2 linked regions of the Rattus norvegicus genome follow. The protein of the gene in region 1 interacts with the protein of each later gene in a pairwise test. Links are inferred from orthologs where the notes say so. Each region holds a gene or a part of one and is shown on either strand. Other genes may lie near its edges.

The links. The genes of interacting proteins can lie anywhere in the genome.
Region 2: the proteins of Ccdc158 (region 1) and Gpsm1 interact in a two-hybrid assay, tested with the Homo sapiens proteins (2 studies listed by BioGRID and IntAct). The link is inferred for Rattus norvegicus from reciprocal best matches to the Homo sapiens genes CCDC158 and GPSM1.

The regions. Positions count from the first base shown.
Region 1 is NC_086032.1:15,722,862-15,726,456, forward strand, and holds part of Ccdc158 (coiled-coil domain-containing protein 158), read left to right. Parts: intron 1-357; exon of another isoform or gene 358-839; coding exon 840-1,029; intron 1,030-3,015; coding exon 3,016-3,168; intron 3,169-3,595.
Region 2 is NC_086021.1:29,537,428-29,541,769, forward strand, and holds the start of Gpsm1 (G-protein-signaling modulator 1), read left to right. Parts: upstream 1-1,525; 5' UTR 1,526-1,643; coding exon 1,644-1,711; intron 1,712-4,342. UniProt on the Homo sapiens protein: Guanine nucleotide dissociation inhibitor (GDI) which functions as a receptor-independent activator of heterotrimeric G-protein signaling.

The sequences.
Region 1 (3,595 bases):
ATTAGCATAACTACACTGCTCACAGAAACAGTTTACACAGTGGGCCACTCTTAGCAGCTAAGTGTCAAAAGGGTTCATGAATTCCTAAATGCCAGCCAAAGGCCAGCCTTGTCAGCCATCTCGATGGATGAACAGGAACAGGCAGCCCTTCACCTCAGCTTCATCTTCCTCCCTCACCTCCATCCCCTCCCCCACCTCCATCCCCTCCCTCACCTCCATCCCCTCCCCCACCTCCATCCCCTCCCTCACCTCCATCCCCTCCCTCACCTCCATCCCCTCCCTCACCTCCATCCCCTCCCCCACCTCCATCCCCTCCCTCACTTCCCTCCAATTCTATTGCTAGTCTCTTCCCTTTACCAGCTATTATGGCTTGACTTTGGGATGTCCTCCCAGGCTCGTGGCTTGAGAGCGTGTTCCAGGTGACAGTGATATGTTAGATGGTTGTAGAACCTTTAGGTCTATGACCTAATCAGCAGAAATTGATGACTGGAGGCAGGTCTTGAAGGCAATATTTGCTTTGGGTTCTGGCCTGAGTTCTCTGCTCTCTGCTCTGACAAGATGTCAGGAAGCCATACAGCACCCCGTACCCCTGCCACTGGACTGAGATGTCTGAGCTCCCATGATTTCCTGTCATGGTGCATCCTCAGAAACTGGAGCCAAAGTATCACCCACACATATACCCTAAGTTGCTTCTCATGGGCATTCTATCACAAGGAAATGATACTAGCGTCCTTAGGAGTACTGACATTAAAGGCAGATAGTGTCAGCGAGACTGGTTTGTGTTATACGTGTACATGTTCTTTTACTCCTTTCACTGGACTCTGGATTTGTCAACCCAGATCTTAAAAGATAAAAAAGATGCGAAGATCCGGGAGCTTGAAGCCAGAGTGAGTGACCTGGAACTGGAGAAGGTGAAGCTGGTGAATGCAGGCTCCGAGCGTCTCCGAGCAGTGAAGGACATCAGACAGGAGAGAGATCAGTTGTTAAATGAGGTGAAGACTAGTAGGACTGAACTGAACAACCTCTCAGGTATGGCACCTCAGTTCACTCTGTCCTAAATACTGTGAGGTCCCACATGGCTGCCCACACACTTACAAAAGAAGAGTATCTGGTCTCACACCACAAATACAGATGCCACACTGCTCCAGTCATGTGATCTGCACTGCACTTCTCACAGTTGTCTGAGGGGCTTGCATCTTGATGCCTGCTAACCATTACCTGTGTTCAGTCCTCAGTTCCAAAGAGTAGAGGTCTCCTGAGGAGTCGTCTTTACAGCTTTACGGTTAGGGAAATGGGAACCTTGCAGCCTTCTAAAGGTTTAATAAACTGACACATATAAATAGAATTATGCAAAACCACTGAGAGGAGAAATCCATGTGACGAGGACTTGAACAGAGGCAGTGGCAGCAAGAATGGGAGAAGAGCAAAGTCTTGAGACTCCTTTGGGCAGTGTGGTAGTGCACACCTCTAAACCCAGCAATGGAGAGGCAGAGGCAGTGGGCCTCTGAGTTCAAGACCAGCCTTTCCTACACAGTGAGTTCCAGAAGGGCCAGAGTTATATAGTGAGGCCCTTTCTCAAAACAACAACAACAACCACAACCACAAACCACACACACTTACCCCCAACACACACACACACACACACACACACACACACACACACAAAGAATAATTGGGAAGGTTGCAGCAGTAGAATTAGTGACTGGCACATATGTGCTGGGTTTTTTAAGCTTGGGATTAGGAAACAATAACAGCAATAACTAAAAAGGGACCTTCTAGAGAAGAGGCGGCTTGAGAGCAAAGGGTAAGACACGAGGCAGCGCGAGGACATGTGCAGCTGGACCTGTGTCTGTAACTCTATCGTAGCCAAGGGTGATGCATGACAAGGACAGCCAGGAGTCTTTGGCTGTGAATTGAGCTTGAGACCAGCCTGACTGCGTGAGACTTTGGCTTCCCCTCAAATATCTCTATCCTATTCTTATGTAAATAGCACGTACAGCAGATGAGGGACAGTACATAAACCTCTGAACCCTCCACTCACACACGCACTGCACTGGGGCACCCCATCCTCACCACTTCTGTTCTACTCTGCCTGGTGCCCTCTTCCACCTCCCTCCCGACTTGGCGTCTGTCCTCTCACTATTACTTCTATAGCCACTGATTCCACTCAGTGTTGTGTAAGTACGCATGCGCAGCCTGCAACAGCCCTGCAGAGCCAAACAGAAAAGGAAGTCTTCCCCAGTGGCCATCAACTACCAGACGGTTCCTCAGCTATGAGTGGGCTCTTGGGAGGCTCTCCCTTCATTAATGCTGGAATGTTGACTGTGTCCCAGGTGTTTCCATAGTTACTGAGGTAGATAGATAGATAGATAGATAGGTAGATAGATAGATAGATAGATAGATAGATAGATAGATAGAGGTATAACTTGGTAGTAAAATACTTGCCTGCATAGCCAAGGTCTTGGTTTCAATATATAGTACATTAGGATGGCAAATTGACTTGGAAGTCAATTTAAAAAAACAGATTTTGAAAAGACATGTGAAACCTTTTAGTTATTTACAGTAGTCGTGAAGATGGGGGTCATCCAAGAAGAAGGCATAAGATAAAAAGACATAAATCCAGGCATGGTCAATTATGGCCTTAATCCTAACACTTAGGAGGCGAGGCATGTGCTTCTCTGTGGTTTTCAAGCCAGCCTAGGCTGGAACTACAAAGAAACTCCAAGTCCAGCCAGGGCTACATCATTAGTGAGACCCTGTCTCAAAATCAGTCAGTCAATCAATAAATAAAAGACTGAAAAAAAAAAACCCCAAGAAGATGGACAGTTGTGAGCTAATTACGAAGACTGGGAGAGAGAAGCCCTAGAATAAGGTGGGCGAGAGGGAGGCGGGTGAAAAGTGAGTACAGCAGATCCCGGCGCTGTGTGTACAGCTCATGTCGGTAGTGAGTGAGGTTGTCTCAGCCTCTAAGGTGCCACCATCACTAAGTACAGACATTGTCGCTGTGTTATACAGAGGACTATGAAGTCCTAAAGAGGAACTTCCGAAACAAAAGTGAAGAGATGGAGAGCACTACAAACAGGCTGAAGATGCAGCTCAAGTCGGCGCAGTCAGAACTGGAGCAAACAAGGAACACGCTCAAGACCATGGAAGGATCCGATGGCCACGGTACGCCCTGCTTCAGTCCCTTGGTTTTTAAACCCATGGCCTAGATGGTTTCACAGTCCTGAATGTACTGCCTAGAACCTCCTCACAGTGCAGGTGACCTGAGAAATACATGCCCAAGCGTGCGTGCTGGGTGGCACGAATGAGCGTTTCTATGGTTTAAGGGAGATTGAGAAGGGCTTGAGCCCTTACCTCATCTGAAGACATCACTTTTTCTTTCTATGGCTATCTTAGTAATTTCTAACAAATCCCACTGTTTCCCCTTACTTTTCAAGATAGAAATACAAGCCACTGATTATTTTCATTAACCCTCATATTTTTTACAGGTACAGTGTCTATATAACCTGTAACTAAATGGCTGATTGGCAACTCTTGACTTTTCTGTGATAAAAGTGAGATGAGATTTGGTAATAGGACCTCTAGACAAGGT
Region 2 (4,342 bases), on another chromosome or scaffold:
CCCCAGTGAGAATGTTGTGGGCCACACATCCCTTAACTACAGAACACTGCAACAAATACCACATATGGGATTCATTCATTGGTTTGGTCCTTGGCAAAGCCCAGGGCCAACAGGGGCTTACATTGCTGCAGTATGTCTCTAAGGGCCTCCTAAAGTCAGGAACTGGGAATCTAAGCTCAGTCTGACACCAAATGGGTCGCAGCAGCCTCTGCTTGCATGTAGTGTCCTTTGAGGGCAACCAGGAAGTGCCTGCATTCCAGAGCCAGGGTCTGCTAGAGACCAGGCCGTGTGTGTGCGCGCGCGCGCCTCTGTATGTCTCTGTGTGTGTGTGTCTGTCTGTGTGTGTCTGTGTGTGAGACTGGGTGGTGCCTGGCCAGCCACAACACACACTCTGCCTTAGCCAAGCCAGAGCAAGACCTGGCTCCTGTGGTCTTCGGGGGAGGTGTGGGGACAGCAGCAAGCCTGGGCCTCGCCCCAGGCACAGATGGTTCTCATTGCTCGCCCCTGCTCTTTCCTAGGAAAACAAACCAGCTCCGGCTGAAGCCCAGTTTTATCTTGTGTTTGTTTTTGTTGCCATTCTCTTTGCCTGAAGCCACTGTACTGTGGGCTGCGTCTGCAGGGTCTGTCTGGGGTGACCTTGGCATGGTGTCCATCTTTAGGCCAGGGGCCAGGGTGCAGGAAAACTGCCAAGGGCATTGCCAATCTCTGCACCCTGACTCGTCCCTGTCCCACTGAAGGTAACAGCTACTTCCTCAAGAACATTTGGACAGGGCTGGAGAGGACAGGAGGGACCTAGGTGAGTCCCAGTTGGGCTGGCTGTCCAGATGGTGCCCTGTGGGTGCTGGGAGTTGGCTGGGGCGAAGTCTCCTAGGCTACTCAAGTATGGGTGAAGAAAAATCGCTCCGGGGTTCAGATCCTCAGGATCCTGGGAGCACTCAGAGGAGGGCAGACAGGTGAATGAGCACCGCCAGTCTCCCACAGGGGCCCCTGGTGTTCTTCCAGTATATTTTCCAAACGCTTGCATTTCACAGGTAGTGACAACATGAAGACTGGTGGTGAAAGCCCTAGCAAGGTAGAGACTTGCCCAGGGCCGGACAGCATCCTCCCACACTTACTCCATCCAGGAAGACCTGGATTCTCTTTAGCCCCGGGTGCATCTGCATGGCCTGTACCCTACAAGAGGTGACAGGAAAGGAACAGGATGTGTGTGTGACAGCAAAGTCGTGTGTGTGTGTGTGTGTGTGTGTGTGTATGTGTGTGTAAGAAAAGGAGGACAGCACCTCGGCACTAAACTCCAGGGGCTTAGCAGGTCTTCCCCCAAATAAAAGGAAGCACAGTATTGTCCAGACTAGAGCAGGGCTCTCCTTGCACTGGACCTCAAAGGCAGAGCCCCGCCCACCCCGCTGTAGGCGGGACCGCCGCAGTGGTGGCCGGTGGGCGCTTGCCCCTCCCCAACCTCCCTCCGCCTGGCGGCGGTGACATCACAGCTCTGGCGGGAGGGGCGGCGGCACCCCAGCACATCACTTCCTCGGCGTCTCGCGCGGACGCGCGGACAGGCGGACGGACGCGCGGACAGGCGGGCAGATCGGCAGTCGGACGGCCGCAGCGCGGGGCGGTGCTCCTGCTCGGCGCGTCCCCGACTCATGGCGAGCCCGGCCCCGCCCGCGGCCGAGGAGCTCCCGGGCCCAGCCGCCAGGCGCCTCTACTCCAGGTAGTTCGAGGACCGGGATGGGGACGGGGACCTAAACGGCGGACGCGGGCGGGAGGCTGCCGGCCCAGAACAAAGGCTGCAGCGGCGACGCGCAACGTGGCCGGGGACGCGCCTCCCTGGATCTGCGTAGGGAGCGGTGGGGGCGCGGGGCCCTAAGATCGGCCCCGCGGCAGAGGGGCTGGGGCTGGGTTCTGCCTGCAACCGTGTCCGGGTGCCAGAAGGGCTTACGGGGCGGGCACTCCACCACTCGGCTCTGCGGGACTCTGAGTAGCATGGATGTCAGTCTTCGTTATTTGGAGTTCTCTTCTCTAGCCCGATACTGCTACGATCCGGTGCTGGTGTAGCATGGCCATGACCCAAGCTGTCATGATGGGGCCCTGCCTTCACTAGCTATCCCCAGCCCTAGGCTAGAAGGAGCTGGGCCTGAGCCAGGCAGGTGGGTGTGTGCCTCCCTACAAAGGCATCTGCCTTCCAGGCAGGTTCACAGGTGATCCAGCGGTCTGCGTTGTGTGCCCACGCCCACTGGGAATGACGGGATAGCCCTGTCCCTGGCTCCATGCCTCCCTGGTGACTCCTGCCTGATGAGGGTGTTCCCCAGTGTGATGCTGGTCGCAGAAGTGGACCAGTGCTGTCAGTTCACTCTGGCCTCAGGCTGAGCTGGAAGGGCCTGAGTGCTGGGTAGTTGTCATCAGCCCCAAAGGAAGGCCCAGCGCTTCTGACTCCCACCTCTTCTAACCTTCCCCAATCTACCCCAGGTGAGGTGGTTCATCGGCTAGCCAAGCACTGCCTAGTACCCCCCAAAGAGCAAAATGAGGGCTTGGTGCCTGATGAACAGAGCCCTTGCCCTCCTGTTCTACTCTACTGTAGCGCAGAGACAGTGTTCCCATTGTGTGATGTTGAAGATCACGCCTGGCCTCACACTGTCTCCCAGTTCTGGTGCCGGGGTCAGAGGTTTGCTAGCAGCTTCTTCCTGGAGTCCCCTGAGAACAAAGGCTGTGTGGGGTCGAATTTACCTCAGGACCAGTCACTTGTGAGAAGGAGGTGTCTACTAGGCAGATTGCAGCGTGTGTGGTGTGTGTGTGTGTGTGTGTGTGTGTGTGTGTGTGAGAGAGAGAGAGAGAGAGAGAGAGAGAGAGAGAGAGAGAGAGAGAGAGAGAGGTGGACATTCAGAACACCGGTCTCCAAGCTCTGTCAGTTGCTCCAAGTTCCCCCTTGAGGTGACTCACTAGGCAGAGTGCTGGCCCCTGTGTAGCCCTCACTGGTTAGGAACTGTATTCAGGATGCTGGTTGAGGCCCTGTGCTCAGCCTGGCATCCCTCCAAGCTGAAACCCAAGCTGAGCTCAGAGGGTTGAGCTAGGACCAGATTTAAGTTGAGCAGCCAAGAGGCTTCCCACAGGGCCTTCCAGGAGGCCCATGAGCTATTTGGCCTCCACCTATTGGGTCCCAGCCAGGTCCCGGACAGCCAGTTCCCTGGCTTCGTTAGGCTTGGCAGATGTGAAGTACCTGAAGCATTTTGACGCAGGTATTAGGGTTCAGAGATGAAAAGTCTGCACCGTCAAGCCCAGCAACCTGTGGCCACTGGGACTGAAGAAGAAATCCAAGCATGTGCTGTCCCCTTGTGAACCTGTGTGTGCATGGAAGCTTGCCTGCTGCCATGGGAGAATTGTGGCGGCCTAGGTGTGTGGGGGGCCAAGCGGAACTGCATCCATTTGATCTAAGAATGCCTGTGGTGTTTCTGGGCTGACACGGGATGTCTTGGCGGGAGCCGTTCTCTGCGTCACCCATCGTCCGCGAGCATTCCCATTCCTCCTGGCGTCTGACTGAGAGGGTTTGATATGTATCAAATGGGTCTGGGAAGCTGAGAAGAGCCACAGATTTGTCCCTGAACTACCAGCTCCTCATAGAGTGCAGAGAGGGGCTGGCTCAGGAAGGCAGGAACACTGGGAGGGATGGGGTAGAGTGGAGAGGGTCTCTATGGGGAATCCCCGGTCCACTGGCACCGGGGCCAGAACAGGGGCTTGGGGACAAGTAGCTGGGAAGTCCTTACAATGTCCTCTTCTGGCCCTCCCAGCCCCACGAGGAAGAGGCTAAGTCCTGAGTGAAGCTGGGAAGGGAGGGTTAGCAGGAAACCCATCTGGAGTGGCCTTACAAAAGGTGCACCTCAGGTCGGGGCTACTGGTGCCCAGGCATGGCAAGGCCTCTGCAGCCACATGACCAAACAATGCTGGTCCCCTACCTAACTATCTCTTTCTGTGTCCTCTCCTCAGCACTGTCCCAGACAGGACCAGTTCCCCAGGTATCCCTGCAAACTTGACCTTATTTAGGCTCTGAAGCTGTTATCCTCTCCTTTCCAGCAGCTTCTACTGCCTACCCTCCCTCTACCCCTCCCCCACTCTTTCTGTGTGTGTCCCCCTTCCCCTGCCTGCTGAGGGAATGTCGGTATAACTTCTTCCTATGAGATGCTGGACAGTAGGGGGCTGGAACAGCTGTGAGCAAGGGTCTCTCAAGCCTTTGGCCAGAGGCCAGTGCCAGGTGACTGCTCTGCAGAGAAGGAGGCAGGCAGAGATTCAGGGTGCTAGACATGGAGTGCTAAGGAGCCAGCTCGTGTGGGTCCCAGAGGACACCAAGAGT